Macaca fascicularis: one gene and its partners. The protein of the gene in region 6 interacts with the protein of the main gene of each other region in a pairwise test. Links are inferred from orthologs where the notes say so. Each region holds a gene or a part of one and is shown on either strand. Other genes may lie near its edges. The genes, in order: FASTKD3, MYG1, CEP95, GFOD1, NDUFB10, FAM9B and POLL.

What was found.
Region 1: the proteins of FAM9B (region 6) and FASTKD3 interact in binary tests that used the Homo sapiens proteins (3 or more experiments, as listed by UniProt). The two-hybrid records come from large-scale screens. The link is inferred for Macaca fascicularis from reciprocal best matches to the Homo sapiens genes FAM9B and FASTKD3.
Region 2: the proteins of FAM9B (region 6) and MYG1 interact in binary tests that used the Homo sapiens proteins (3 or more experiments, as listed by UniProt). The two-hybrid records come from large-scale screens. The link is inferred for Macaca fascicularis from reciprocal best matches to the Homo sapiens genes FAM9B and MYG1.
Region 3: the proteins of FAM9B (region 6) and CEP95 interact in binary tests that used the Homo sapiens proteins (3 or more experiments, as listed by UniProt). The two-hybrid records come from large-scale screens. The link is inferred for Macaca fascicularis from reciprocal best matches to the Homo sapiens genes FAM9B and CEP95.
Region 4: the proteins of FAM9B (region 6) and GFOD1 interact in binary tests that used the Homo sapiens proteins (3 or more experiments, as listed by UniProt). The two-hybrid records come from large-scale screens. The link is inferred for Macaca fascicularis from reciprocal best matches to the Homo sapiens genes FAM9B and GFOD1.
Region 5: the proteins of FAM9B (region 6) and NDUFB10 interact in binary tests that used the Homo sapiens proteins (3 or more experiments, as listed by UniProt). The two-hybrid records come from large-scale screens. The link is inferred for Macaca fascicularis from reciprocal best matches to the Homo sapiens genes FAM9B and NDUFB10.
Region 7: the proteins of FAM9B (region 6) and POLL interact in binary tests that used the Homo sapiens proteins (3 or more experiments, as listed by UniProt). The two-hybrid records come from large-scale screens. The link is inferred for Macaca fascicularis from reciprocal best matches to the Homo sapiens genes FAM9B and POLL.

What each region holds. Positions count from the first base shown.
Region 1 is NC_088380.1:8,145,771-8,150,057, forward strand, and holds the start of FASTKD3 (FAST kinase domain-containing protein 3, mitochondrial), read right to left. Parts: upstream 2,805-4,287; 5' UTR 2,765-2,804; intron 1,926-2,764; 5' UTR 1,902-1,925; coding exon 470-1,901; intron 1-469. UniProt on the Homo sapiens protein: Required for normal mitochondrial respiration. Increases steady-state levels and half-lives of a subset of mature mitochondrial mRNAs MT-ND2, MT-ND3, MT-CYTB, MT-CO2, and MT-ATP8/6.
Region 2 is NC_088385.1:60,106,273-60,109,317, reverse strand, and holds the end of MYG1 (MYG1 exonuclease), read right to left. Parts: intron 1,859-3,045; coding exon 1,706-1,858; intron 1,570-1,705; coding exon 1,447-1,569; intron 1,028-1,446; coding exon 846-1,027; intron 737-845; coding exon 553-736; 3' UTR 531-552; downstream 1-530. Other genes in the region: AAAS (aladin), read left to right, coding at 1-215. UniProt on the Homo sapiens protein: 3'-5' RNA exonuclease which cleaves in situ on specific transcripts in both nucleus and mitochondrion. Involved in regulating spatially segregated organellar RNA processing, acts as a coordinator of nucleo-mitochondrial crosstalk.
Region 3 is NC_088390.1:71,097,696-71,101,981, forward strand, and holds the start of CEP95 (centrosomal protein of 95 kDa), read left to right. Parts: upstream 1-1,479; 5' UTR 1,480-1,574; coding exon 1,575-1,593; intron 1,594-3,055; exon of another isoform or gene 3,056-3,056; coding exon 3,057-3,185; intron 3,186-3,411; exon of another isoform or gene 3,412-3,494; coding exon of another isoform or gene 3,495-3,600; intron 3,601-4,286. Other genes in the region: probable ATP-dependent RNA helicase DDX5, read right to left, coding at 528-571.
Region 4 is NC_088378.1:159,456,899-159,461,334, reverse strand, and holds the start of GFOD1 (glucose-fructose oxidoreductase domain-containing protein 1), read right to left. Parts: upstream 2,855-4,436; 5' UTR 2,127-2,854; coding exon 1,874-2,126; intron 1-1,873.
Region 5 is NC_088394.1:2,722,016-2,726,405, reverse strand, and holds NDUFB10 (NADH dehydrogenase [ubiquinone] 1 beta subcomplex subunit 10), read right to left. Parts: upstream 2,839-4,390; 5' UTR 2,752-2,838; coding exon 2,604-2,751; intron 822-2,603; coding exon 683-821; intron 478-682; coding exon 338-477; intron 188-337; coding exon 78-187; 3' UTR 11-77; downstream 1-10. UniProt on the Homo sapiens protein: Accessory subunit that is involved in the functional assembly of the mitochondrial respiratory chain complex I.
Region 6 is NC_088395.1:8,685,504-8,689,771, forward strand, and holds the start of FAM9B (protein FAM9B), read right to left. Parts: upstream 2,954-4,268; 5' UTR 2,669-2,953; intron 1,912-2,668; 5' UTR 1,823-1,911; coding exon 1,795-1,822; intron 1,293-1,794; coding exon 1,172-1,292; intron 993-1,171; coding exon 961-992; intron 1-960. UniProt on the Homo sapiens protein: May play a role in meiosis.
Region 7 is NC_088383.1:110,560,523-110,564,817, forward strand, and holds the start of POLL (DNA polymerase lambda), read right to left. Parts: upstream 2,804-4,295; 5' UTR 2,750-2,803; exon of another isoform or gene 2,352-2,749; intron 1,966-2,351; exon of another isoform or gene 1,942-1,965; 5' UTR 1,920-1,941; coding exon 1,805-1,919; exon of another isoform or gene 1,778-1,804; coding exon of another isoform or gene 1,681-1,777; intron 705-1,680; coding exon 410-704; intron 27-409; coding exon 1-26. Other genes in the region: protein DPCD, read left to right, coding at 2,885-2,948.

The DNA of each region.
Region 1 (4,287 bases), on a different chromosome or scaffold from region 6:
CCCAGCTCCTAGCTACCGAGTACAATTAAAAGAAAGAAAATATGTTCACAGAATTAGTGGAAATTTCCTTTAACTATGGAGTTCCGGAAATATGTGGGTGGCCTTGATTCGAGATGAACGATGCCATCCTCTCAAAAAAAAAAAAAAAAAAATACAGTTGCTTACTCATCAAAAGTTCTAACATGTTAATGTGGCTATTTCCACTACCATCACTGTATCTCCTAAGAATGCTGCAATTTCTCAGATAAGGCAAAAGTCAGTTTATCTGAGACAGCTTTCCTCCCTTTATACGAGTTCCTAGCATGCTTTAACTCTGTGTTTATGCCAGCATCTGTCAACTTCAGGTCTCATCTTCAGATCACTATGGAAGAAAAACTAAAGGCAACACACTGCCTTTATATGTGACTTGAAACCATTGCCAATTCAAAGGTTAACTTTTTCCAACTGTCAGAATTTATAACCAACTCACCTTGCAGCCGTTGAAGGAAAAAAGGGTTGAATATTTTTGCCATAAAGTTGACTGGATGGCATTCATTCAGTGAACATGAATGAAGAAGTTTCAATAATGTTTCAGGTGGAAAATAATCGAAATGAGTGAATAGCACATTTTCCAGCTTTCTAAATAAAGCAGAGGCATTTGGTGGCAAATAATTGAGTTTCCCAAATGGTTCCATTAATGCAGAAATCTGACTAGGTGAAAATTTTTCTGATTGGCAAACAAAAGTTTCTGCCACTGCATTGAGGATGGGTTTTGAAAGAATCCGTTTTCTACCGCAGTACTCCATGACTCCGCAGACAACTTCAGGATCCAACGTGAGGCACACCGCAGCTACACGATTCTCTAGGGCTTTTGTGAAAAATCTGTCATGGTACCCAAAATACACGAACGCCTCCAAGACTCTCCTAAGCTCCTCGTTAGTGAAATATGGGACATGTCTCACGACATATCTGCCCAATTTTATGATCAGAGGAAATGCTTGACTTTGATCAAGAACCACCAGGGCAGTGAGCATTTGGCTAATCAATTTAGGACTCAGGCTGGAAACTATTGAAGGGGAAAAGTTGTTTATCTTATTTAAAAATGTTTGGTGTTCATCCACTTTTTCAGCACATGCCTGCAAGATTCTATAAAGGGCCACAATATCCTCTGGGGTAAATGTTTCCAATTTTTCACCTTGCAGTTGATTTATAATCAGTTCTAGTGTCACACAACCCGAACTGTGCAGTCTAATCAGACTCTCCCCAAGAACACAAAGATTGGGAACTTCCAGGCCACCTTTTTTGAGACGATTTTGGCATTCTGCCACCAGGTTCAGTAACAGGCTACTTTGAGGATCCACATGCAACAGAATCAGAGCTTGCAAAGCAGTCACCAAAGTAGTGTTTGACAGCTGTGAGGGTTCCTTTTCCAACTGAAAGCATAAAGCTTGAAAGATGCTATTCTCCAGTATTTCTTTTGACAACCCTTGATCACCATCCTTTTTTTCCACTTCACAAATTCGTTGTAAAGCTCCTGCTGCCATAGTGTCAGGCAGGGTTTCCATCGTGCTTATAAAACTTAGCACTTCTTCTGATGAAGTCAAGTTGCTCAGTCTCTTGTAAAACGTCTGACTCTCCCCATTTTTAACATTTTGTTCAAGCCTGACCCAGTCAGATATTTGAGAGAATACTGGCCCACTGAGTGGATGAAGGTCATTTCCATTTTTCGAATTAAACTTTTTACAATGGGCATGATGGAACCTGATCCTGAAAGGCTCAGGTTGTCGTGAACAGAACCAAGGGCACAGGCGCTCCTTGACTACCTTGTGAACATGATTTAGAGGTTGACTTTTCAAAGCAGCTCCATGCATCCGAAAATCAGATAAACGATAAAGGTTCTTCCTCAAGGTGATTAATGCCATGCCATCAGATTCTCAATTTGATAACTAAATTAAAACATTTAAAAAGACAAGGTTAAATACATTGAGAACATGATTGACCCAACATCAATGTTGAAACTACAAACGAGTACCAGGAAAAAAAAAAAAAAAAGGATGGATAACATATAAACACCAGAGGAGCAAGGTCTCTGCATCCTAGAATTAGAAAAGTGGCTGACATCCAACAATAACAATCGTTACTACTTGCTAAACACTTTCTATTAACTTACACAGATTAAGTACCTTTACCATCATTTTACATGAGGTAGAAGTTGAAGAGCAAAGTTACTTTGCCCAGTTTATGCAGGTGGTTAAGTGGCAGAGCTAAGTTTCAAACTCAGGCAATGTAGCTCTTAAGGGTGGCCCTTAAATGTTGGTTGAAGGAAGAAATTGCATTTGAATAGAAATCAAACAAAGAATAGGTAAAGTGGATGAAATTACGCAAGGTTAGAGCAAGGCAAGAGTAAAAACGCGCTGGAAAGGCCCTAAGCTGTTGGTTTCCCCTCGGTGTCAGGAGACAGGGTTGAGGGAAAGGGTCTACGTCGGCAATGGAAACAAAGTAGGAAAAGAAAAAGCACAACATAGACCAATGAAGGGAGAAGGTGTGGCGGCCAGTCCAGATCTAAAGACGCCGCGGGAGGATTTGGGAACACGAGTGTGCAGGACAGACAGGCGTGATGCCCCGGGGCGCGTCTTCCTAGGAATGAAAGGGACCCGCGGGCCGAGCACCCCCAAAACTCGGCGCCCCGGGGACCTGCGCTGAGACACGGGCAGGGTGGCGCAGCCTGAGGAGAAAGCCGATAAGGTCTGTGACACCCAGCCGGAGAGACCGCGTGGACACCTACCGCCCTCCGCCCGCCAATCACTCCGGGTGGCCGCGGAAGCGCCTGGGCGTCGTGGGCCACCGTAGTAAACGCGGGGCGGGGCAGGGCGGGGCGGGGCGGGAGCACGACTCACAGCCGCGCAATGTGATTGGCCCAGGTCCCTTCGGAACTTCCTATTGGTCCTAGGTACGGAGCATGGGCACTACGGCAGTGCGCACGGGCGCAGCGTTGGTGGAAGTCGCGCTGTGCAGGTGTGTCCTCGGGTGGCGCGGCGCAGGTAAAAGCGCTGGTGGCTACGGTTTCCGGATTCCGGCCGCTGGCCCCGTACTAATCCCGAGGGAAAGGCGGCCCGGGCTGGGGAGCGGGGGGAGGCAGCCGGCTTGCGCCCATGGTTCCCACGCCCCTCGAGCTCCGGGGATCGCCGCGGGGGCGGGCTCGGCCTCGGGCTGGGGCTTGGCCTTGGCCTTGGTTTCCCCGGAAGCGCGTCCCGGAGATCGGCGTCGATCTCTGCGCGCGGGGGCTCCTGGGTGGTGTGGGGCTTCTCCGCCTGTTCTTTGGTTCCAGGCACTTTCTAGGACTAGGGAAACCGCACTCGGGGACGCGGGGAACGGGGGAACGTGTCGGGTTGGGGCGGCGCTCTCCGGGGAACCGGGGATTTTCCGAGAGCCCACCTGGCGGGACGCGGCAGTGAGCTCTGCCCACCGCCTCCGCGCCGCCCCTGGGGCTGCTGGGGCTCCGGCCTCCTTTGAGAGTAGTGGGAACGTGGTGCCGGGTTGTGGGGCAGTAGCAGGGCTGAGGGGTTGATTGATCCTGGGAAGTCCTCAGGATGTGTGTGTTTCATGGGAAGTGATAGAAATTTTAGCTGTAGTAAGATTTTCATCATCGTTTCCGCCGTTTTCTGTGAGCTGTAAACGTGTAGTGTTTTCATATTGTTCATTTACTCTTTCAGATAACTTGTCGAGTACCTGTTTTGTGCCAGGTGCCGTTCTGGGCGGTTCATTCACGAAAAGCCAATATTTTGGTTTGGGTTTCAGTTTAAATCTGCCTCCACAAATTGACAGCCCACCAGTTTTAGCCATTAGATGAGTAAGGAAAAAAAAATCTGTGAGTATCGTTTGTTTTACTGCTACTTATCTCTTCAGGAAAAACATGTGTTAGTAAAATGTTTTAAGTGGATTGGAAGTATTTTTTCTTTATATGCACCTGTATGTAATATGCCCATACACTCATGTATTTTTGATTTCCATTAAATACAGAAAAGGTAACTGATGTGCTTCAGTTACCTTTAGTACTATGATTAGTTTCTTTAGCATTAGGATCAAATAGGAACCAAGAATCCTATCATTTTAATATAATTTTTGCTTTTATATTTTTTAAGAAAGGGGACACCAAAATGTATTTAAGACTGTTGGGAATGATACTGTGCCTCAAGTTTTGTTCAGGTTCTTTTCTTGTGCCACATCCTTTTTCAGGTAGGTGGTAAAAGTCTCATTTTTAGGATAGAGGAGCTGTGGTACAGGTCATTTGGGAAGCTTGCCTACAGG
Region 2 (3,045 bases), on a different chromosome or scaffold from region 6:
CAGGCCGAATTGCTCACATCCCGCTGTACTTTGTCAATGCCCAGTTTCCACGTTTTAGCCCAGTGCTTGGCCGGGCCCAAGAACCCCCTGCTGGGGGTGGAGGCTGTATTCATGACCTGCCCCTCTTTACTGAGACATCCCCAACCTCTGCCCCTTGGGACCCTCTCCCAGGGCCACCACCTGTTCTGCCCCACTCCCCACATTCCCACCTCTAATAAAAAATAAGTTTTCCTTTTGTTTTCCACTCAGTTACCAGTCTGTCTTTTCCAGGGAGTTGCATTGGGGTAGAGTAGGGGGAAAAAGCATGGACTTTGAGTTAAGGCCCTGTTCTGTCACTTTTTAGCCACTTGTGAATTTGGTCACATTAACCCTAGAAACTGTATGGATTCAAATGCTTTGGAAAGCAAGACTGAGAAGTTACTGTGAAGAAAATATATCTAACACAGGGTCTTACATATAAATAGTTGTTTCACTTTTCACAAGTTTCCAGAATGGTGTAGGGCAAGAATGAGTCAAGGACTGGGTCAGTATGAGGTGGAAGGTTTTATTACACTAGGACATTTGTGGGAGGTATGAGCGCTGGGCCAATGTGGCACGGGCCATGTTCAAGGCACCCTCTCGGGTGCGGTGACCGCCAATGAAGCCACTTGCATGGACGAAGATGCAGCCAGGGATCCCACTGACCTGGTCCAGGGCCTCGTCCCGAAGACCCCGCCATGGCTCTGGTAGGGGCAGCCTACAAGCGGGCAGAAAGAGGGAGCAGAGCAGAGGTCAGAATTGGCAGCCTTCTCTTAACAAGGCTGAGACAGGCCTGAAGGTCAGTAGGGTGGTTCCCTAGGGCTCACCGGCTTTGGAATGAGTGGGGCTCCTTGGGCACAGACTGTACTCGCCACTGTCCAGCCTGGTCAGTGTAGATAACAAAGATGATGGCCACTGGAGGGGACAGCCCAGATTCCAGGTGGTAGAGATGCTCCTTCCAGGGACATCCACCTTTCGCCAGTTCCACAATCTCCCCACTTGGGTCCACCTGAAAGAGGGAGAGGATAGCTAAAAGGTTTAAGGTAGGCTGGGCATGATGATTATGCCTGTAGTCACAACACTTTGGCAGGCTGAGGTGGGAGGATCAATTGAGCTCAGGAATTTGAGACAAGCCTAGGCAACAAAATGAGACCCTGTCTCTACAAAAAATACAAAAATCAGCTGGGTGAGGTGGCATGTGCCTGTAGTCCCAGCTACTCAGGAGGCTGAGGTGGGAGGATTGCTCGAGCCCAGGAGGTTGAGGTTGTCTGCCACTGCACTCCAGCCTGGGTGACAGAGAGAGAGAGATCCCATCTCAAAAAAAAAAAAAAAAAAAGAAAATGTTTAGGGTTTAGGGTAGAAGCAGGAGCACCTGTTGATTGGCAGTCAGTAATCCCCAAGCCACAATGCCTCCTCCAAGGCCTATACCTGGAATCGCTGGGCAAGGGCCTCTTCCACCAAGGCCCGGGCTGGCAGCCAGCTGTGTTGGTAGAAATCTAATCTCTGCAGAAACTCCTCTTGAACCAGATCCATTGCACGCTTGAACCCTGCCTGGGAATGATGAGAATCAGAACCAGGGTGCTGGCGCAAACTTGGAATTTGCTAGGGCTTAGGAGGAATAAATGCTCCCATTTCCCCCCGCCCAAGGTTCTTACAGGTCTCAGGGTTTCCTCCCACGCCACCTTACCTCAGTGTCTTGGTCAGGCTGGTTCCAGGTAGGATTAAGTCGAGCAACTCGTGCACTCAGGGTAGTGGTCAGTGCATATCGAGGCTCCCCCTCTGCCCACTGGGAGATCCCATTGTCCACGGCATCCACCTCCTCCACAAAGTTCTCATACATCTAAGGCAGCAGCAGGGGAAACTTTCTTGAGGCTACCTACTATTTATGTGAAGTCTTAACATGATTCAAAGTATGTTCATACACACTCAGCCCTGTGAGGATCTCTCAACATAACTGGATGAGAAAAGGGAGAACTGGCAAGTTCAGCAGCTTGCTGAAGCTCAGGAGTCTCACTGTGCTGTGACTGGAATTCAGATCACCTGGTTTCTAATCCATGCTCATTCTGCTGCACAAAGCCCAAACCAAAGCCAACAAGTGTGGGGAGGGGACTGCTAACTTTTGAACAAGGAAGAGGGTCTTCCAGGTGCTAGAGGGTCTCTGTGGGAGTGGGTCCCTGTGGTTGAAGGCTGGTAAGTCTCCAGGTGGGGTGAGTAGGTATTCAGTGACATGGTTAATGAGGTGCAGGAGGGGCTCTGGTTGAGAACACAAGTCAAGAGGGAGAAAATGAGTCTGAGATTAGACACCAAAAGCTGGTTGCTGGGTTAGGGTTCCAGGGAAGCCCATAATGTGCCACATGACATCAGCAGTTGTCTCCTGGGTCTGAATAAATGGTAGGATAATGCCTCAAGAGTCTCGGGGCAGAAACTTTATGCAAAATTGCCCGACAAAATAGGCCTCCATAACACTACACCTGTGGTATGTAGAAAAGTGCTACTCTCAGAGCACTGAGAAAGTAACTTCTATGCCCAGCACTTCTTGGTTTGGACCCCAACCTGATGCTCAGTTAAAACATGGGTTTAGGCTTAGGTGGGAGGATCACTTGAGCCCAGGAGTTTGAGTCCAGCCTGGGCAACGTAGCAAGACCCTCTCTACAAAAAATTAAGACATATCATTAGCCAGGCATGGTGGCATGCACCTAGAGTCTCAGCTACTTGGGGGGCTGAGGTGGGAAGATTGCTTGAGCCTAGGAGTTCAAAGCAGCAGCAAGCCATGATGGCACCATTGGACTCCAACCTGGGCAACAGTCTCTCAAAAATAAATACATAGGCCGGGCGCAGTGGCTCACGCCTGTAATCCCAGCACTTTGGGAGGCCGAGGCAGGCGGATCACGAGGTCAGGAGATCAAGACCATCCCTGGCTAACATGGTGAAACCCCGTCTCTATTAAAAAATACAAAAAACTAGCCGGGCGAGGTGGCGGGTGCCTGTAGTCCCAGCTACTCAGGAGACTGAGGCACGAGAATGGCG
Region 3 (4,286 bases), on a different chromosome or scaffold from region 6:
CATTTTGAGCTCCTCCGCCGGGCGGAGTAACAAAGGCGCCGCCGCCATGTCCAAGGCCGGCATTTTATACCCGCGACTCAGCCACATGGCTGATGCCGGCCGCCCTCCTACCCCCACAGCACCAGTGGCTTTGGAGGTGGTCCCTTCGCTCCCACAGAATGCCCGACCACCCCAAAAACACCTCCCGAAAGGCCGCACCTAACAGCTGTTCCTTCGTCTGCCTCGAAGCGTCGCGCTTTCATCCGAACAATGCGCTCCCTCTGAATTCCCTCAACAGCTACCAAATGGCAGCCGCCCCGACGGCTCCCCGACCCCCACACAAAAAGCGAGGATGAAGACACTATCCCGTCAAATCTCTCCCACTCACTGTTACGTGAATATCAAAATGGCGCAAGCCTTCGGGAAAGGAGGCCCCAAGATAGCCCGGAAAGGCCGAGTCCAAGCCGCAAAGCCCCGGCCCGCCGCCACCCTGACCCGCCCTCCCATCCCCCACCCGCCAGCCCTGACAACTCGGCTCCCACACTCACCCTCGATCCCGGCCGCGGTCTCGGTCACTCGAATAACCCGACATAGCGTCAATGGTTGCGGTTGGCGGGGAACGAAGTAGATAGAAAAGGGTGCGACGAGTCGCTGGAAATGGCTTCGGCGACGGCGAAGCCTTGCGGGGGCGGCAGCGGAGGAGTGACGGCGATGACACCAGCCAAAGCTGCACACCTAGAGACCGGTGGAAATGAATGAGGTGCCGGCCGCTTTCCGGCAGCCGCTTTTATAGTCTGGACCTCCTCCTACGCCGCAAGGCACGCTGGGAGCCGCTCTATGACCTAATCGCCCCGCCCCTCGCGCAGAGGCCGCAACGCCCGCCGGCGTTCCGCGATCGCCGCGCTTTCACCCCACCCCGTGCCGCTCTCTCAGGTCAGGGCCCACCCACCATTGAAATGCCTCATTCTCCACTCTCTTGACCTCACCTTCTTCTCGTCTTTCCACACCTCAAGAAAGCCACCCTGCCCTTTCCCAAGCCCAGCCAGACGATAAAACAGCCAGCCCAAGCCCGCCCACCCTCCCCACTCGGAGGTGTTTACGTCTCCAAAGAGCCCTCACGCCTGTAACCAAATGAGAGGGAAGGCGGGGGCCTGGCGTTGTCACGTGACGTTACCCCCCCACCGCCCACCGTGACAGGGGGCCGCACTACTTCCCCGTTGACGTCGGCGGAGGGATACATAACGAAATAGCTCACCGGAAGTGCGCTGCCAGCACCCGGGACCCGCCCCCAGCTGCCGGCTAACTTGGACCGTCCGACCCACGGGTCTGACAATCCTGTGACGGGTTTTGGCCGGCGGAGAATGGTCTCTAAACTTCCCAAACCGCTTCCGTGGCACGTGCTGTGAAAGGAAGTGCTCCTCTGATGACCAATCAGCGGCGAGAAGTTCTTTTAACGTCCCTCCCTCTTTCACGCCTCCTTCCCCGCGCTTTAGTTCGTGCGCCCGCCCCCCAGCGTCTGCTCTGCGTTCGGTCCTTGCAGGACACCGTCGCCGGTCTGGCAGCGTCGGAGTCCGGCGGCGACCTGCTTCCGAGACATGGCCCGCTCGGAGGCTGGTGAGTGTTTCCCTGGGGTCGCGGTGTGTGTTTACTGAAACTGTCCACCTTCAGGGAGGCCTCGGGCTAGCCCGGACTGGGTCTGGGGTGTCGGCGGGGCTCGTTACTGTCAGACGCTGCGTCGCGGTGGCGGGTTCTCTGGATAGGGTCTCTCAGCTTCACCCCCTCTTCGCTTTGAGGCCGTGGAACAGCAGTATGAGGTGGGAGAGAGGCACTGGGGCGAGGCCGGTAGGACGCTCGGGTCCTGGCTGCAAAAAGAGCAGTCAGAAGGGTCGTCCTCGGACTTGTCTTTCTGTGGGGCGTCTAGCCGCTGTCCATGTGCCCTCCTCCCTTGCACTATGGGCCCTGAGGTCGTACCTCCTTTTGTAGTGGTCTTTAAAGGAACGGCACTCTTAAGGTTTATTCATGCCCCTGCCACAGAAGAATAGTGGTGCTTTTTTCTCTTCAGTGCCCTCTAGAGTCATGGGCTTTGTCTAGCACCGCTTTTGAAGAGCGAATTAATTTGGTTGTCTAGGACGCTTTCATCCTTTTCACTAGGACTGCGTACAAACCAGTTGTCATGGTTTGGCCAGTTGTGAGAAATGGGCTTGGAGAGGGGGGATTATGTGCCTGGAAGATACACTCTCATTCGTTTCCAGAACGTCATGTGTCCAGAACATAGTGGAGATGTTTGTTTCTAATATCGATTGCCAGTGCTTTCCTACCAATCGTCAGGCATTTCAAGGAACAAGTATTTTAAGCTAAGTTGCTTTTGGTAGAGAAACTGTTAAACTTCGCAAATCCCAGCAATATCTAGGGGAGAGGAGAATGTGGTATGCAGGAAACGTCAACAGTATTGATAATTCTGAGCTTCATGTACTTCCAATATTTTGTTTCATGTAGATCAATATAATAAAAAAGAAAAACTAAGAAATGCATTAGTGTTGATGTTGTCATTATGCCAGTTCTTAACAGCCTAAGTTTAATCACCACTTATTTGGGCACCAGAGAAATCCTGACTTGCACAAGATAATTGGGTAAACACATGACCAATACTGTTGGGAGTTTGAAGCAACATATTTTATTAATGACTGTCTAGTAACTTCAGATTATTATTAAACTGTTGCTTATGACATAATATTCCTGTTTACTTGTAAACATGTTTTAACTAAAAACACCCACGTAAGGCTTATATAAGTAACTTAAGATTTTAGGCTGCAACAGTAACAGTTGAATTTGCAGTATAGTTTTGACTGTATAGAAATTACAGCACTCTGGAAATCATCCCAAGAAATTAAATACATCTTTTTAAAAATCATGCCTAACGGGTCTTTGAAATTCTATAACAATCAAATTCCCTATCTTCTACAAAGTTCAGTGTCTTTTTTTTTTTCTGGGTGGGGAGGTTGTTGGATTTTTTGAATGGGTGTGTGATTTTTTTCTGGTGGTATTTAAGACTGATCTTTCCCCCTTTTTCCCAACAGAGTGGGTAACCATTGCCAATAGCCTTCTTTTTAAGTGTCATATACATCTGAGAATACATGAACTTCAAGACTGTGATGCTAATGTTTTTATTGCCCTTTATCAGTCTATTTTGGGAGAAAAGGTACCAGGTAAGACTACTAAAAGCAGGAGTAATTTTGCCTATATCTTAGGTCAGAAGTTTTTGGTCCTTTAGTTAGATGCTTTGGTATTTATAACATTTCATTTTCTCTTTGCCTATATATTTTTTAATATTGCATATTAAATTATATATTAATATACAATATTTAAATATCGTATATTAAATGGTATTTAATATTGCGTATTGTCTAATTATATTATATTCCTTAAGGAATACCCTGTGGAATCCACTCAATAATGGCCTTGAGCAGATCAGTTTGAGGGCTCCTGATAATCACTGGTTAATCCAATCATGGCTAATGCCTTGTGAAAGTTGCATCCTTTCTGAAAATGTACCTTCAAAGGTTGTAAAATTGAGTGGAACTTGGGAATTTATTGGATCCTGTCACTTAACCAGTGTTAGGGGTAAGAATTGATATTTGTACTTGATGAACCTAATTTACCAAGACAGTTAATAAGCGTATATATCCTTTCATCTTGCTCCCCATCTCACTATGTTCAAGAACAGGGTGGTACCAACTCAGCTTAAGTGATTCTCCCCTGTCTGCCTCCCAAAGTGATAGGATTACAGGCATGAGCCACCATGCCCAGCCTGTACTGACATTTTAAATCTTTATACCAATAATTCCAGTTGGCTACTCAAAAGGACATATAAGGGCCGGGCGTGGTGGCTCACGCCTGTAATCCCAGCACTTTGGGAGGCTGATCATTTGAGGCAGGTGGATCACCTGAGGCTAGGAGTTCAAGACCAGCCTGGCCAACATGGCAAAACCCCGTCTCTGCTAAAAATACAAAGATTAGCCAGGCATAGTGGTGCACGCCTATAATCCCAGCTACTTGGGAGGCTGAGGCAAGAGAATTGCTTGAGCCGGGGAGGCAGAGGTTGTAGTGAGCCAAGATCACGCCACTGCATTCCAGCCTGGACAACAGAGCGAGACCCTGTCTCAATAAATAAATAAACAAACATACATATATATAAAATAATCTTCCAATGCCTGCTGTGTTGTTTTTTTTTTTCCTCTCGTAGAAAGCAGCCCATAGTTATGGGTTAAAGTATCATGTCTTGGCTCCCTTACTAGACTATTAGCTCT
Region 4 (4,436 bases), on a different chromosome or scaffold from region 6:
ATGGCCAACTTCCCAGAGACAGCCAGAAAACAAGGTCATCCTTGTTCCCCAAATCGCCACCCTCCTGCTCTAGGTTTGCTCTGTGGGTCTGTACCCAGGACAGGAACCACCATCTCTATGGTGGAGAAACGAAGTTACAACATGGTCTTTCAGATATGACCAGTCCTAAGCTCTCCAGTATACCCAGGGCTCATGAGGGACCAGTTTTGTACAAACTGCACTAATAGAATTATACCACAAGATGGTTATAAAATATTTAATATGCAAAGAGCCAATGTAAACAAGGGAGTTATCCACCCAATACACATGTTCCATCAAACAGAAAATAAATATTGGCCAGACTCAATGGCATTCAGTTCAAGGCCAAAGAAACAGGCCACAAAGGGCAGACACTTAATAAAATTAACTGACAATTAAAACTGACAATGTGAGCAGCCTCCTTAGGAATTCCATCAGATGTCGCATCTGAGTCAACAGCCAAATGGCCTGATAAAAATGCCTTTCTATGGAGAGTTTCTACATTCTGTTCAGAGCTCTTCGAAGGCAGAATTAAAACACATATATATATTTCACCCACCCTGAATCCACACCTATTTTTAAAAAATAAAACAGTCTTTCCAAGACTACATAACTTCCGGTTGGTTTCTGGATGGTCTCTGTTCCTTGGCAGTTCCTCCCTTCTAATCTGTTCTACTATTCGCTTCATCTGGTTATAAGCTTTGTTCTTGTTATAAGCTTTGTGTTTTCCTCACCAATAGAAACTTCAGCTTTCAAAGGTGAGCTGCTAATTTTCTTGGAATTGTAAGATCAAGCAAGCTTCCTGGGATTGTTTTAGGTTATATGTAAGAACTGATGATGAACAAAACATGCCCTTCTCTTTCCCCTGAGCATGGGCTAAGAGGTTGCTACTCTGTGCTCAGAGATTGTTCAGACTGCCTGGGAGTTGAGGGGAGCAGGGACCAGATGGTGAGGCACCCTGAACTCATCTCCGGCCCCCGCGGGTCAACACTATGCCTTCAGAAACTATTCCTGAAGGCGATTAGCGAGGGCCTTTTCTGATGCAAAGCGTCCATGACTCTGGAGCTACTGCGCCCATCCCCGTAAAAATTTAAAATCGATTACTCCAAACTGTGGCAGAAGACATTTCCCGGAAGGCTGCATTCAAAAGTTAAAACCCCTGGTTTTATCAAATCAGTCTTTACTAACCTATGACGCTTCTGAAAACATTCTAAATCATCACCCCCATCCAACCGCTCCCATCATCCTTGCCTCCAGCGCAGACGAAATAATTCCAGCCGATGGTCACACCTCCAATGTCACGCTAAACTAACTCACAGCAGAAAGAAACAAACGACCCCAACAGGGCGCCACAGTTGCTGAAGGGCAGGTCCTCTGTCGAACCCAAGAACCCCGAGACACGTGTGCGGCCCTTTATTCAGGCGTTTCTGGGCGCGCACTCGCGTCTCCCAGGCGCGCGCGCGCACACACACACACACTCACACACACACGTACACGACACACACAGCTGAGGACTAACTTTCCTCTTCTTGCGGAGCACCCCATCCCCTGATATCGGCATCTGATCTTCCTAGTTCGGATCCCCGGAACACACTCCTCCTCCAGCCTGCCAGCCACACACGTGGGGAAGCGCGTCCAAGTGGTGCCAGGAGGCAGGAGGGAAGTGCAAAGGTGGGGAAGGCCCGGGACAAGGAAGGAGGGAGCTCTGAGTCGGATCTGGGATCTCAGATCCATGGGGCAGCGTAGATGCAGGGTAAGCTTCTGGGACACGGAAAGGGAAAGGCAGCGGGGAAGGAACCCAGGGAAGGTTAAAGGGCGGGTGTGGGACGGAGGATTCAGGGTAGGGGTCGCTCACCTAGGGTTTTGACAGCGATCTGTCTGGTGAGAGGCGGCGGCAGGTTAATGCACACCAAGTCCACGTCCTGATGTAGCAGCACCTCATCAATGCGGCTAGTGTAGAAGGGGACACTCATCTCCTTGGCCAGCTCCTCCGCTTCTTCCTGCGTGCGGCCCCACAGCGCCTTCACCGCGAAGCCCTCGTCTTTTAGCAGCGGGATGATGACACGGGCCGTGAGGCTGGTGCCGAACACGCCCACCCCGGGAAGCATGGCTGCTCAGAGCCGCCTGGTTCTGCTTCTACTCGGATCTCCAGTCCAACACGCGCACACACCCACCTCCAGCTAGTCCTGCACCCGGCTCCTGCAGCCAATCTAGCCGCTGTGCGCCAGCCGCCGTGCACCGGGCAAGGCGCCCGGGTGCCCAGCGCGCACCGAGCTGCAGGCGGAGCAAGCTCGGGGCGCCTCAGTACGGTGACTGCGGCAGTGTCCGCCACGCGGGGCTTGCGTCCTTCCCGGAGTCGGCGACAGGGACCCCCCCAGGGCGCCGGAGGCTTCGAAGCCCCCTGGAGCCCCGGCTCAGGCGGCGTTCGGGCGGCAGCGCCAGTCCGCTGCGTGCGCCCAGCCAAGGCCGCTCCATGGCCGGCTCATCCCCGCGGCCGCGCCGCCGCAGCCCGGGACCGTCTCTCTCCCGCGTCGTTTGCGCAGCCGGCGAATCGCACACACAAACGTCTACACCCTGCCCCAGAGTCTGGGCACGGACCCGCTCCGCTGGGGAGTCTCCTTTATCCCTCGCCCTCCGCTCGGAATGAAATAATCCCGCGACCGCCAGGAGGCCGGCTAAGGATGCGGCCCGGAGCGCGCCGGACGGGGATCTCAAGCTGCAGCGCTGCAGCGGCTGCCACGACCCGGCGCCAGCCTCCTCATTTTGCTGCCATGTTCGCTCGCCTCGCGGCTCGGGCGGCCTCGGCCCCAGGCCGGCTCAGGCTCCGGGATCCCGCGGGGACGAGGGCGGAGTTGGCGAGTTTGGCTGTCAGCGGCCGGTGTTCCTGCACCGCCCTCACCGCAGCGCCGCGCGCCATTGGCCGCCGCGCGCCGCCCCCGCCCCCGCCGCCGCCAGCTCCGGGTGCGCGCTGCGCCGGGGCCCTGGGAGCCCAGCCCGGCTCCTCCCCGGCCCCGCCTCGCTCGCCTCCTGCCCCTCCGCTTCTTCCCTTTCTTTGCCCTCACCATCTTCTTCTCCTCCCTGCTTCACTCCAAACCCCGCCCCAAGCAAGCAAATAAATCTATCTAGGCAGGGCGCGCCCCAATAGGTTAGTCGCCTGTCCCTTGGAAGAGAGCAGTGGGCGCCTTGGCCTGGGGGCAGTGAGGGGACCCGGCGAGGTGCGAACAGCCGGTATTAACAACCTCGGTCCCCGGAGCGTTACCTGCGTGCTGAGCATCATACTGAAGCCTTTCCAGGCATTGTCCCTTTTAGTCCTCGCAGCAACCTAAGGTTATTGGAAACCCATTTTACCAGTGATGTAAATGAGTCCCAGTGAAGGCTAAGGGACTTGCGCAAGGTGACATATGTAAGCAACAGGCCTGCGATTGGAATCCAGGCCCCAGAGTCTGGGCATGGAACCGCAGACTTCTCCGGTCCCCTTCCAAGCTAGCCTGCTCCAATCGCGCGCCCCCGCTCCGGCCGCGCACGCAAGGTTCAGCCGCCTTCTTCCCAGACAGTCCAGTCTTGGCGGGCTCCCATCTGCCTCCCACCTCCCCTGCCCCTAGGCCCGTGCCCGCCGCCGCGTAGAGGCTGTGGTCTGGACTGCCGCAGCGGCGCAGGGGTCTCCGAGGCCGCTGCGGCGCGTGCGTCTCGTGTCTAGGTTTCGAGACGGATATGTCGCCCTGGCCAGATGCCACGCCCGCTTCTTGCTTCGGCTCCTGTTGCCATCGCCACTTCCAGCAGCCTTTACTTCTCCCAGCTTGCCCCCACCTCGACCCCCCTGCACCCTTGTCAGGCCCTCGAGGGGGGACTGAGGGGAACTGGCCAAGGCTGGCCCCGCACCTCTGGAGCCGTGGGGACTCTGCGTCTGTCTGGTTTTCCACCATATCCTTGGCACCTGGCACACTGCCTGCCTGTATGTAGTAGGCCCTCAATAAACATTTGCTAAATAAATGAATGCATATTCATCGAATGCCCGCTTCGCACCCATTTGATGCCGGGAGCGGGGACTAAAAATTGAAAGGCACGTCTTCTAGCTGAAGGTCTTTGGAGAGGTCATGGGTCAGGTCATGTTCATCTCCTGTCTTCAGCACTGGGCTCAATGTCTGCCGCAACACGAGTGGAAAACGTGATACTTGCAAGCGTTTAAAACAACTTGTAACAACTGGCAGTGAGGCGGGGCGCGCGTGGAGAGAGCAGGATATCAAAAAAGCTGTGTGTGGCAATGCGGAGTGGAGGCTGACCTAGGGCATTAGAAGAAACGCACAGGCCGGGCGCGGTGGCTCAAGCCTGTAATCCCAGCACTTTGGGAGGCCGAGACGGGCGGATCACGAGGTCAGGAGATCAAGACCATCCTGGCTAACACAATGAAACCCCGTCTC
Region 5 (4,390 bases), on a different chromosome or scaffold from region 6:
GAAACACAGGCAGGTTGCAGGACTTTATTTCAGCAACAGTCATACAGAGCCACACAGCAGGCGCACCCACAGATGCCTCAGGAGGTGGCAGCGGCGGCCTCTCTTGCAGCTTTTCTCTCTTCCAGCATCCTCTCCTTCTGTTTGGCCAGGCACTTCCTGGCAGAATAGTGGGCCCCCAGGTCCTGATCTGAGAAAGCAATAGAAACAAGCTGGGAACCCAGGCCTCTGCTGCATGCAAAGGGGGGGCAAAGTCAAGTGGGCAGAAGTGAGGGGAGGGAGGAATCGCAATGGTTCTGGCCCCCAGGCCTCAGAAGGATGGGAGGGGGAGGTCACGCACAGCGGTCCTGGTAGGCCTTGGCCACCTCGGTGAACTGCTCCACTTCCTTGTTGCAGTTCTGCTTGTAGTTGTGTCCTTCCCTCTGCTGACAGGCCTTGAGTCGAGCCTGTATAATGTTGACAATTTCTCGGTCGACTTGGCTGGGGGAGAAAGGGAGCAAGAGAGGCTAATCACCAGGAATCCTTTCCCTGTACCCCTCGAGAACAATTGAAATCAAGAGCCCTGGGGTCTGGCTCCTCCCATGTCAGTCCTAAGATCTGGGCATGCCACCCTGTGGAATCCCAGGGACCGGTGGCCCAGCTGCACATGCTGCAGATCTCCACACTCCCAGCGTGGCTCACGTACTAGTCCCTCCTCCACTGCATTTCAGCTTCAAACAAGCACAAGATATCATTCTCCTTGCACTCAGTGATGTCCGGCACACGGCGGTACTGCCGGTGGTAGTAGTAATACCTGTTCTTCGCATGCTGCCGCTCTATAAATTCTGCAAAGACAAAACCACAGACTCACACCTCATTGGTTTGGACAAGCTTTTAGCTTTCTAGTTCTCATAGGCCCCTTGGAGGGGAGGGAGGAGAACTTCCTGAGTGTTCCAGCGTTTAGAAAACAGGCAATTCGGCCGGGCGCGGTGGCTCACACCTGTAATCCCAGCACTTGGGGAGGCCGAGGCGGGCGGATCATAAGGTCAAGAGATCGAGACCATCCTAGCTAACCCGGTGAAACCCCATCTCTACTAAAAAAAGCAAAAAAATTAGCCGGGCATGGTGGCGGGTGCCTGTAGTCCCAGCTACTCAGAAGGCTGAGGCAGGAGAATGGCGTGAACCCTGGAGGTGGAACTAGCAGTGAGCCGAGATCGTGCCACCGTGCTCCAGCCTGGGTGACAGAGCGAGACTCCATCTCAAAAAAAAAAAAAAAAAAAAAAAAAACCCGGCAGTTCGTCTCTCTATGAGGTGTGGCCGGCCAGGCAGGCCTGTGAAGGCCTAGGCTACAGCTGATGGAGAGCTCCAGCGTACCAGGCATCATCCTCAGAGTTCCACATGCATTACCTTACTCTGTCCCCCACACACGCCTACAGGCAGCGGCTTCTCACAGACAGCACTGACTGTGACGAAGCTCTGCCGGTGCACCTCCCCCAGCTGCACAGGGACCCCTGTGGAGTCCTGCGGGAGGACTGGGTGCGCAGAGGTTCCAACAGGGAGCCTCCAGCAAGCAGAACTTACCACCTTACAGCCTCAGCTTCCTCACTGGGAAATGAACAAGCTAAAAAGAGAGCTCGAACATCCAGACACATAGGACAGACATGTTCTAGGACTGCTACAAAAGAGAGGGAGCTGGGTCAGCTGTTGCACGGTTTACAGATCCTTGGGGGTTTGATTTGCAGACTTCATCCTTTTACAAGAGAACCACCAGAGCATGCTATGCACCCCAAGTGTTCAAAAAGAACTGAACCAGGCTGGGCGCGGTGGCTCAGGCCCGTAATCCCAGCACTTTGGGGGTCCAAGGTGGGAGGATCACCTGAGGTCAGGAGTTCGAGACTAGCCTGGCTGACATGGTGAAACCCTGTGTCTACTAAAAATATAAAAATTAGCTGGGCTTGGTGGTGGTGCACCTGTAATCTCAGCTATTGAGGAGGCTGAGGCAGGAGAATCGCTTGAACCCGGGATGGCGCAGAGGTTGCAGTGAGCCGAGATCGCACCACTGCATTCCAGCCTGGGCAACAGAGCGAGACTGTCTCAGGGAAAGAAAAAAAAAAAAACACTGAACTGGGCATTCTCCCGGTTCGTTCCAGAGATGGTGAATGTGGGCATCTCGGCCATCACCCTGACACTTGGTCATCTGGCAGGTCTATAACAACCCCCAGGATTCAGATGCTTCCCTGTGCAGACCACCCCTAACATTTGAGAGAGGCCTGAGGCCAGCGGTGCGGTGGAGGGGTTCCCGGCGCGGCGGGGGCAGAGAGCAGTGCGGGGTCCTGGAGCAGTGGGTGCTGGGTGCGGCAGGGAGGGAAGAGTCCTGGGAAGGAGCGGGGCGTCCCGGGGTGCAGGGGAGAGTAAGGGATCCTAGGAGGTGAGGTCCGGGGTGCAGTGGGAGGCCAAAGTAGGCGACGGAGCTCGGGGGTCTCCGGGGGTGGGGGGTTGTCCCCGGGGTGCAGCGGGGGGCGGTCTCAGGGAGACGGGACCCCGGGGGCATTGGAGGATCCAGGCAGGGTGTGGGATCCAGGGGTCCCCAGAGGCCGGCGAGGGAGCCCCGGGCTGGGGCCTCGTACCTCTCACGAGGGTCACGGGTCGGTCCACGATGAGGTCGAACGCCTTCGTCATGTAGACGACGGGATTGGGCAGCCAAGTCTGCGACGACAGCACCGGCGTGCGGCGCGGGGGCTCAGGGTACACATCCTTGTCCCAGCTGTCCGGCATGGCGGCGGGAGGCGCGAACCCCGCTCCCTGACGCGCTGCCCTTGCCTCTACCTCTGTCCGGGTCCCGCGGCCTAGGTCGCCAGCTACAGAGGACGCCGAGGGCGGCTGCGTCTGTGCGCTGGCGGCCGCGAGGCACTATGGGACTTGTAGTTCCCCGACTCCGCCAGGCGCGGCCGGGACCCGCCTCGCCGCAGGGCGCCCCCGTGTGGGGCCTCCGTTCTCGGTCTCTGCCGAGCGCCTGCGCGGTGCTGGTCACTGGTCTGGGAGCCTGGGAAGTAGGCGCGAACCGGACAGATCCCTGCTTACAGTGAAAGAAACAGACAATAGCCAACAGACATAAGGAATAGGAGGGAGTCATTCGGTTCCCACTGCCCGCCAGGCACTGTGCTGAGTGCAGCAGGGAAGAAGATAAACAGCCCGGCTGTGATGGAGAACACAGGCCGTTAGAGCATACACGACAAAGTCAACAAATAACACGCAATTCCAAACTCCCTACTCTTCTAGGAAGCTTTCCTGGATTGCCTACCCCGTACAGAATTCCCTGGGCCCCGCTCTCTACCAGGACCCCTGGTGAGACGGGGTTTCACCATGTTTCTGGTCTCAAATTGCTGACCTTAGATGATCTGCCCACCTCAGCCTCCCAAAGTTCTGGGATTACAGACATAAGCCACCGCTCCCAGCCAAACTCTTGGAAAGAAATACAAACCATGAGACCCAAACAATCTTGACATTTTAGTAGTCTAGAATCTTAGTATCTATTGATGTAAGAGTCACAGATGTTAGAGACATCGTAGGCCTGAAAAACTCTAAAATTCCACTGCTATAGAACTTTACAACCGGCTGGGCGGGGTGGCTCACGCCTGTAAACCCAGCACTTTGGGAGGCCGAGGCGGGTGGATCACCTGAGGTCAGGAGTTTGAGACCAGCCTGGCCAATATGGTGAAGCCCCATCTCTACTAAAAATACAAAAATCAGCCGGGCATGGTGGCACGTGCCTGTAATCCCAGCTACCAGGGGGGCTGAGACAGGAGGATCGCTTGAACCCAGGAGGCAGAGGTTGCAGTGAGCCGAGATTGTGCCACCGAACTCCAGCCTGGGCAACAGAGGGAGACTCTGTCTCAAAAAAAAAAAAAAAAGAACTTTACAACCATAGCATCTTTGAATTGAAAGAGATTTCGAGGGGCACAGTGGCTCACATCTGTAATCCCAGAACTCTGGGAGGCCAAGGCAGGCAAATTGCTTGAGCTCAGGAGTTTGAGACCAGCCTGGGCAACATAATGAGATCCCTGTCTCCATAAACAATACAAAAATTAGTGAGGCATGGTGGTAAGTGCCTGTGGTCCCAGCTACTTGGGGGGGATGAGGCAGGAGGATTGCTTGAGCCCAGGAGGTTGAGGCTGCAGTGAGCTATTACTGTGCCACTACACTTCAGCCTGGGCACCAGAGGAAACCCTGTCTCAAAAAAAGAAAGAAAGAGAGAGAGAAAGAAAGAAAGAAAGAAAGAAAGAAAGAAAGAAAGAAAGAAAGAAAGAAAGAAAGAAAGAAAAGAAAAAGAAAGAGAGAAAGAAAGGGGCCGGGCGTGGTGGCTCAAGCCTGTAATCCCACCACTTTGGGAGGCCGAGGTGGGCGGATCACAAGG
Region 6 (4,268 bases):
TGTCACCAAGCAGAGCAAAGCTTTCCAAATATACTGCTTGTATGAATCATCGCTATCGAAGAGCTGAAAACTGAATTGAGCTTTTCAAAAGTAAGAGTATTGTCTCCATCATCTTTACAGAAATTTTCTCAAACTTTTTTGAAAATATGGTCCCTATAACAGTGCAACTAATATTTCACACAGCAATATAAAGTTTATGAGTTTTTGGATCCAATTACATGTTTCTCACTAGATAGAAAAGTTGTCCTTACTTTTGTACTACACAGTTTATTACTGGAATAATAATAGAAAATGATTTTAGAGAATTCAATTTTCTCTTGTACTTCAAATAAAACAAAATCAGAAAGCTGTGACAATAGAATAGCTAAATTAAGAACATGAAAAACTCTTATTAAAAACTCTGAGTACATATGGACAGGAAGAAGGGACCAACAGACAACTGGGCCTACTTGAGAGTGGAGGGTAGGAGGAGGGTGAGGATCAAAAACCACCCATCAGGTACTATGCTTATAACCTGGGTGACAAAATAATCTGTATACCAAAACCCTGTGACATGCAATTTATCTATATAACACACCTGCACATGTACCCCCAAACTTAAAGTGAAAGCTTAAAAAAAACCTGATATATGACTTAATCTGCGTACACTAAAAGGAACGAATAGAGCTATTTCTCCTCCAATGTCCTCTAATATTCTCCAAACAATTAAATTTCCACGTGTATGAAAGAAAAGCCATCCATCTCGCTTCACCATTATTAGAAGCATTCTCACATTCCACATCAACAATCAAAGAGGTAAGAAAAATTTATCAAACAGATTACATTAAATACGTATGTTAAATGCTACATATGATAAGCCATTTAAGACAGTCTTGTCATCCACTGATTCATATAACTTACTGCAACAGTTGCATGATTGAAAACAATTTTCATAAACGACAGATAACTCCTAAAATATACCTGCAGTATCTTCTGGCTTCTTGGTATTAGCCCTGTAAAAAAAGTTACATCAAAATTTTAGCATAATACTACACAAAATGCCATGTTTGTTGGGAAAAGAAATGTCTTATGTGAAATGTTCTGCACAGAATAGAACAGTGATGACATGGTCCAAAGGTGACTTTTCCTAAAAGACCCTATCCGACAGGCAAAAGTGACTTAAACACTTTACCCCGTGTGCTCGTCTTTTTCAGCAAAAGGTTCTCTTTCCCCATGCTCATCAGTTACATCTTCCTCCCTTGTTTCTGTAAAAGGGTTTCTTTCCTCACATTCGTCACTGACTGGATCCTTTCCTGCATTAAAATTTAAAAGACAAACCTTTTTTAGAGGAAGACACTGTTGTGGACTTTTTTTGTGGAGAAATGTACTAGTTGTAGACTTTTTTTTTTTTTTTTTTTTTTTGGCTATCTGCCAATTAAGGCTTTAAAGCAGAGCTGTACATGGAATCACCGGCTTCTGACCATTTTATCAAGGCACTTTTGGAAGCCCTTCGGGTTCAAGTCCCAGTAAACAACGTACTACACGTCAGACCCCTTGGATGTCATGACTGCACTCATGGAGAAGAGCTGCTCTGGGAGCATCTGTAACCCCGCTATGAGGGGAGCCTTTTACGGGAAGCCTAAGGCCCTTGAGCCTGCTTTGAAAACCTGGGGCATCTTAGCACGTGCACGATGGACTCCAAAGCCACGAAGGGGCCCGGGTCCTTGGGCTACCCCTGTGCCCCCAGCGCAGAAAGCAGACAGACCGTCCTCTTGGGCGTGCACTTTCTTCCGGGTCACCTTGGGCTGTATTTACCTGCACGCTCCTTCCCCTGGGCCGCCATAAATTGAGCCTCCAACTGGGCCTTGGCAGCCCTCCTGCCCACAGGATCCGTGGCTGGCTGTCCTGGGAAGCTACAGGTGATCCCTGAACCTGATGAGGGCAAAGGCACACTAAGGAAGCAAAGGAACCCTGGCATCGGAAAGGAAAGCCATTGGGATCACAGGTTTAAGAAGGGTGGGGCTGGCACGCCCTGGGCCTCCTGTGGGAGCAGGAGGGGACCGAAAAGATGCCAGTGTCCCCTCCTGTCCTGGCCCGTCCAGCCCGTCCAGCCCGTCCCCGGGGCTGGCTGCAGAGCTCACAGCTGCCCCTCACACCTGAACTCCACGGCGTCTGCGGGATCCTCGCCGCACCTTTGGGACAGAACTCAGCCCTACCTCTGGGTCCCCCAGCGACCCCGTGTGGCTGGGAGGGCCACCGGGTGACACAGGATCTCCCCAGCCACCTCCAGAGGAATGTCAGGGGCTGCACTGTCACTCACCCGCCTGGATGCACAGGGGACCCCTGATGACCCCAAGTGTCCTGTCCTGACGGGAGGCCGGGCAGGAGGGCCCCACTCAGACTGTCCCCAACAACACCCTCGCCCCACCCCCACTTCCCCCCACCTTCCGCACCTCCCCCCAACACATGCACAAGCCCTCCTGGGCCCTAGGGATCACCCAGGCGGCTCCAGCTCCCTCCCTGCCCTGGCCCACCCCAGCCCACCCTCAGGGCCTCGCCCTGACCCAGGCCCCAGGCGACCACGCCAGGGGCATTTCCTCACAGGTCAGCGGGCGGCCCAGCGCTTCACACCCTGGTTCCCAGAGGGCCTCGTGCCTGCGTTTCCGCCTCCCCACCGCGAGCGCTTCACCTGAGGGACCCCTGATGTGGCGCCCTCAAAGAACCTGCAGACAACAGCACCACTAGGATCTCTTAGAAAACGGGTCCTCTCAGGAGGCTGAGGCAGAATGATTGCTTGACCCCGGGAGGCGGAAGTTGCAGTGAGCCCAGATCGCGCGGCTGCACTGCAGCCTGGGCGGCAAGAGCCAGACTGTCTCAAAAAACAAAAAACAAAAAACAAAAAAGAAAACAAGTACTCAGTTCTCGTGAGAGCTGCCGACAGCACTTCCTACGCTCCTCGCAGATTGGTCGACTCAGTGCACATGCGTGTGACAGGCCGTGTGGGGCCACGCCCCCTGCTGGCACGCCCTCCCCCTTCCCCTAAGTGACAGCAAGTGGTTGCTGTGGACTGAGGTGGGGTTGGCCCTTTGGGGCCTCTGTTCCCACATTCTTTCAGCTTCTGCTCCTGGGGAGGGACACAGGACTTGGTATGGAGGCCAAGTGGACAGGGCCTAGAACCTCGCCCTGGGGCTCTTTCCAGCCACCCCTGCCCCTTTGGCTAGAATGGCCATCATCCTATGGGTTGGGCCCAGGCTCCCTCCCATGCCCTGTGTGCTTCCAACATGCCCAGCTGCATCCTTTTCAATCAATGGATTGTGCTTTTATTGTTTTTGTTTGTTTTTGAGACTGTGTCTCACTCTATCGCCTAGGCTGGAGTGCAGCAGGGTGATCTCAGCTCACTGCAACCTCCGCTTCCCGGGTTCAAGTGATTCTCCTGCCTCAGCCTCCCAAGGAGCTGGAATTACAGGAGCCCAACACCAAGCCCTGCTAATTTTTTTTTTTTTTTTAGTAGAGACGAGGTTTCACCATGTTGTCCAGGCTGGTGTCAAACTCCTGACCTCAGTTGATCTGCACGCCTTGGCCTCCCAAAGTGCTAGGATTACAGGCATGAGCCACCGTGCCCTGCCCATAACCATTTTTGTTTCCTCACTACTTTTCTTTCTCATCCTCATGCCCCAGACTTGCCCACAAACCCTCATGCTCCAGACTTATCCAGACATATGCCACAACCTTCACCCACAAATTAATGCCTTAATACTTATCGTTAACTCAGCTTTTTCCCACCTCCAGTCGCCTATAATAGGGGGAGAGTTGTTTTGGAGTTAGGAGTAAATAAATATTGCCTAAAGTTTGTAAATCAAGATATAGAGTTTCATTATATTATTGAAATTATATCCCAGCACTTTGGGAGGCTGAGACGGGCAGATCACAAGGTCAGGAGATCGAGACCATCCTGACTAACACGGTGAAACCCTGGCGACAGAGCGAGACTCCACCTCAAAAAAAAAGAAAAGAAAAGAAATTACAAAGGCAGTCATCAGGAAAACTAATCCACAGCCTTAAATGTCTATATAACCAAAAAGAGCACACACAAAGAACACAAATCCTGTAGTAAAAGTTGGAAAATAAAGAAAATACTCCAGAGACCATAACATAAAGGAACAAAATTAAGGCCAAGTGAATCTGTTGAGCAAGAAATATGAATGAGATAAACTCAGAATCTAAAGGAAATGACTTCCAACTTGGATCAAAATAAAAATCTAAGTATATGCTGTATGTAAGAATGGAGC
Region 7 (4,295 bases), on a different chromosome or scaffold from region 6:
TGCTGGGCTGTGACTGGTCCAAGTACCTGTGGGGATGGTGATGGGAGGTTAAGACACCAAAGGTCTCACCCTGTTTCTGTCCCCAGTCCTAATGTATTCTGAAATACTTGGTTTCCCAGTGTGTCCAATTAAGAAAATGAGTTTTTTGAGGTTTTTGGAGTTTCTCTTGAGATAGGGTCTTGCTCTATCACCCAGGCTGGAGTACAGTGGTATGATCAAGGCTCACTGCAGCCTCAGCCTCCCTGGCTCAATCAATCCTCCCACCTAACCCTCATATAGCTGGGACTACAGGCATATACCACCATGCCTGGCTAATTTTTAAATTAATGACAGTTATTTTTAATAATTCAAGAAGAGAGCTCAAGATGCTACTAGAAAACATTGGAAAAAAAGACTGGGATCAGCCCACCTACTGGGGATGAAGATGCTGAATCCAGCTACATCCACCAGCCTCCTCTCCTGAAGGCACAAGCTCAGCCAGGCTGACTTCACCAGCTGAGCACCCGGGGGCAGCCGGGGTAGTCTGAGAAGGCGGAGGGCTCGCTCATAGTCCATGCCTTCATCCACCACAATGTGAGTGACACCTGGGCCCTGGACAGGGCATAACTGGCCACCATGCTGAACAATCTGCTTCTCAAAGAGTTCTGCCCGGGCTCGTCCAATGCCAGTGCGCACAACATGGGCCCGAAGGGAGCTCAGCCACTCTGGGGAAGGAACATCCAGATGACTACTGTCATAACTTTTTAATTTTATCTGCCACCCCCTGGCCACAACTTCTAACATGATCTGAATACAACTTCTAACATGATCTGAATGACATGTTCACAGTCCCCTACCCTGAAAATAAGCATTTGTCTTCCATCCAGGCAGGTTTCCTTCTATATACAGCAAATTTTCTCACAGGCCAGTACTTGAAAGTAAGGGACAAGGATTTTTATACGTCCTGTTCCTTGGTGCAACCTAGAAGTGTCTGGCACATTGTAAGTAACCTGTAAATATCTGCTGAATGAATGCCTCCTCCCTTCTTACTTTGTTTTTGTTTTTGTTTTGTTTTTTTCGTTTGTTTGTTTGGAGACAGTCTCACTCTGTTGCCCAGGCTGGAGTACAGTGGCGTCATCTTGGCTCACTGCAACCTCCATCTCCCGGGCTCAAGCGATTCTCATGCCTCAGCCTCCCAAGTAGCTGGGATTACAGGCATGTGCCACCATGCCTGGCTAATTTTTTGTATTTTTGGTAGAGACGGGGTTTCGCCACATTGCCCAGGCTGGTCTCGAACTCCTGAGCACAGGTGATCTGCCTGCCTTGGCCTCCCAAAGTGCTGGGATTACAGGCATGAGCCACCGCGCCCAGCCTCTCTCCATACTTTGAATCCTTTATCATTTATTCTTTCAACAATGCACATTTCTTGCCCTTACACTCTGACAGACCCGACAACCCTGCCTCCAAAGCCTCTGCTATTTATTTATCAATTTGGCTGCAAAACAACTAACAACAATCCTGGGTAATGGAGGGGGGTTTCTGTCCCAGTCCCCCAGGGCAAAAATTATACTGGTCATTCCCTGAGGGTCCAGGGAGTCTTTTCCAATTGATAGGGGTGTTCAGGTAGAAAAGAAGATAACACAGCAAATGGCCTGTCCAAGACCCAGGACCAAGCTTAGTACAAGGCAGATACAAACAGACCTGCAGTCCATGGACAGGCAGAGTCAGCTCCAATATCTGATTCTGGACATGAACAACATAGGGCTGAAGCACATGAAGGCTGAGGGTTCAAGCGCATGAGGGTTCTGAGAGTGGGTCATCTCACCTTCTGCTTCTTCTCCCTCTTCCTTCCTGGGAATCTTTGCAAGTACTTTTGATGATGCATCAGCATGAATTTTCTTCCGTTTGGGAAACGCCTTCAAGATACCCCTGGGATCCATTGAAGTACGGCTGCATCCCAGCCTGTTGGAGGGTTGGTCAGGGCTGCTGTCAGGTGGAAATACAGAATTAAGGATCTCCAACCCCTTTGCCTATGGAGGTAGGGGGTAGCAGCCCAGTTTGGGGAAGCGGGAGGTTGGGGGGGATCTCTTCAAACCCCGTTAAACTAGCTTTTTAGCCTAGCTTCACACTCCCCAGTCTTTCAAAGTTGGAGTATTAGGGGAAATGAGGGGAAGGCTGGAGCCATCGGGGGTACTTTTAAGGAGTAGGAAACTATACCCATTCCTCAAAGGGGTTGCTCTAAAGATTCAGCACAGCCCTCCTGCTGCGGCCCACTTCGAAGGGCTTTACCAAAATGGGATGCTGGGCTAGGAAATGGAGCTTTAGGGGATGGAGCGGAGACTGGGGAGGACCTGCACATAAACTCCACATACTCTTTTTCTCCAACACAGACTTGCAGAGGAAAACCTGAGGAGGCGGACTTTCGCGGGTGAGTGGGAACGCCCTGCACCTGCCCTGGTCTCAGCCTCTCGACATGGGGATGCTCAGCGCCGCAGCTGCGGGGAGATGGGGCACGGCCGCAGCAGGTGTGGGGAGCCCTCCGGGAATGGAGGAGTCTCGCAGCTGGGGGTGAAGACCCGGGCAGGTGTGGTGTACTCGCCCTGTACGCAGCTGGCGCAGGCCAGGGAATCCCAGCTCGGGGCTAGTAGAGAGTTGGAGTGCCCAACCCCGGCGCCAAGAGTCTCTCTCCAACCGCCAGAGTCAGTCCCTGGGTGCGGTCGACAACAGGCCAAGTTGGTCACCCGAGGGTGGGCAGGAGTAGGCCACTTACCAGGAGAGCCAATGAGAACGGACGAAGGGGGGAAGGAGGGCAAATGCCCAGAATAGCTTCCGAGTCAGCCGGAAGTGACCTTCAGTGGAACGGTTGCCATGGCAGCGGCCGGGCGGGCTGCTTAGCAGAGGAAAGATGGCGGTGACGGGCTGGTTGGAGAGTCTGCGGACAGCCCAGAAGACTGCACTGCTGCAGGACGGTAACTCGAGGGTCCCCGCGAGCTCCTTCGTTTTTTTCCCCCAGGGTCCGGCCCTCCGGGAAGGGCCTCAGGGCCTGGGTCGGCAGAGCTGGAAGGGTCTCGGTGGTCAGCCGGGCCAGGTCCTGCATTTGCGGATGAGGAGACTGAGGCTCACAGAGATGACATGACCAGAACACATGTCTCCGGACACCCCTTAAATTTCTCTACACCATCTCGCCCCGCTCTGAGTTCTGTTGCTAATATAGTAATTTCTTTTACATTCGTTATCTCATTTGCTCCTCACCACTGTCCTGAGAGGCTAATTTTCCACCCCGTTTTACAGAAGAGGAAACTGAAATCCAAGAATGTTTTAGACTTTAGAGAGGAGAGAGGCCTGGGCTCTAGTTCCGACTGTGCCATTAATTCACCACGGGCTCTCCAGTTGGCACCTTTACTTGTTTGGGCCTCACTTTCCTCATCTGTAAAATTAAGTGGATGGACTACCGTTGTTATCTCTGAGGTCCTTTCCAGCTGTAATATTTTTGTTAAGTGAACCTCTAAATGTTTTCTGTGTCTTAAGGGGAGCTAGAGCAAGGACCAAGGGCTGTGCATGGAAGAAGTGGGCACAGGGGCATGGATATCTAACTTTTCCTCACCCTAGGATTGGCCGATGTCAGCCCCCTGTGCACTTGGGTCCTTTCTGGACCCACTGGGTAACCAGGATGAATTGTGTCTGAAGTTCCTGAGACTTTCAAGATAATAGCTGGTGATTCACATTCACAGGCAGAGGCCAATCAGGGAAGCCTGGAGTTTGTGGAAATTAAAATCATTTACTCGTTCGTGCAACATTTAGGGAGGCTTTTACTATGTGCCAAGCTCTAAACTAGAACAGAAAGAAAAAGATATGTTGTCACAGGACTTGGACTGGTTGGGAAAAACATGTATTTAAGTAATAAGATGTGTTAAATAGAGGTTGTAGTCTTGTATAAAATGGTAGGAAAGAGTGAAGGTGTAAGCGACATGTCTTTGGAAGAAGACCCAACAGAAGTGATGATGTTTCTGGGTCCTGAAGAATTAATAAGGCCAGGCACAGTGGCTCACGCCGGTAATTCCAGCACTCTGGGAGGCTGAGGCGGGTGGATCGTTTGAGCTCAGGAGTTCGAGACCAGCTTGGGCAACATGGCCAAACCTCATCTCTTCAAAAAATACAAAAATTATGGCCAGGTGTGGTGGTTCACGCCTGTAATCCCAGCACTTTGGGAGGCTGAGGTGGGCGGATCCTTTGAGGCCAGGAGTTCGAGACCAGCCTAGCCAAGATGATGAAACCCCATGTCTACTAAAAATGCAAAAAAATTAGCCAGGCATGGT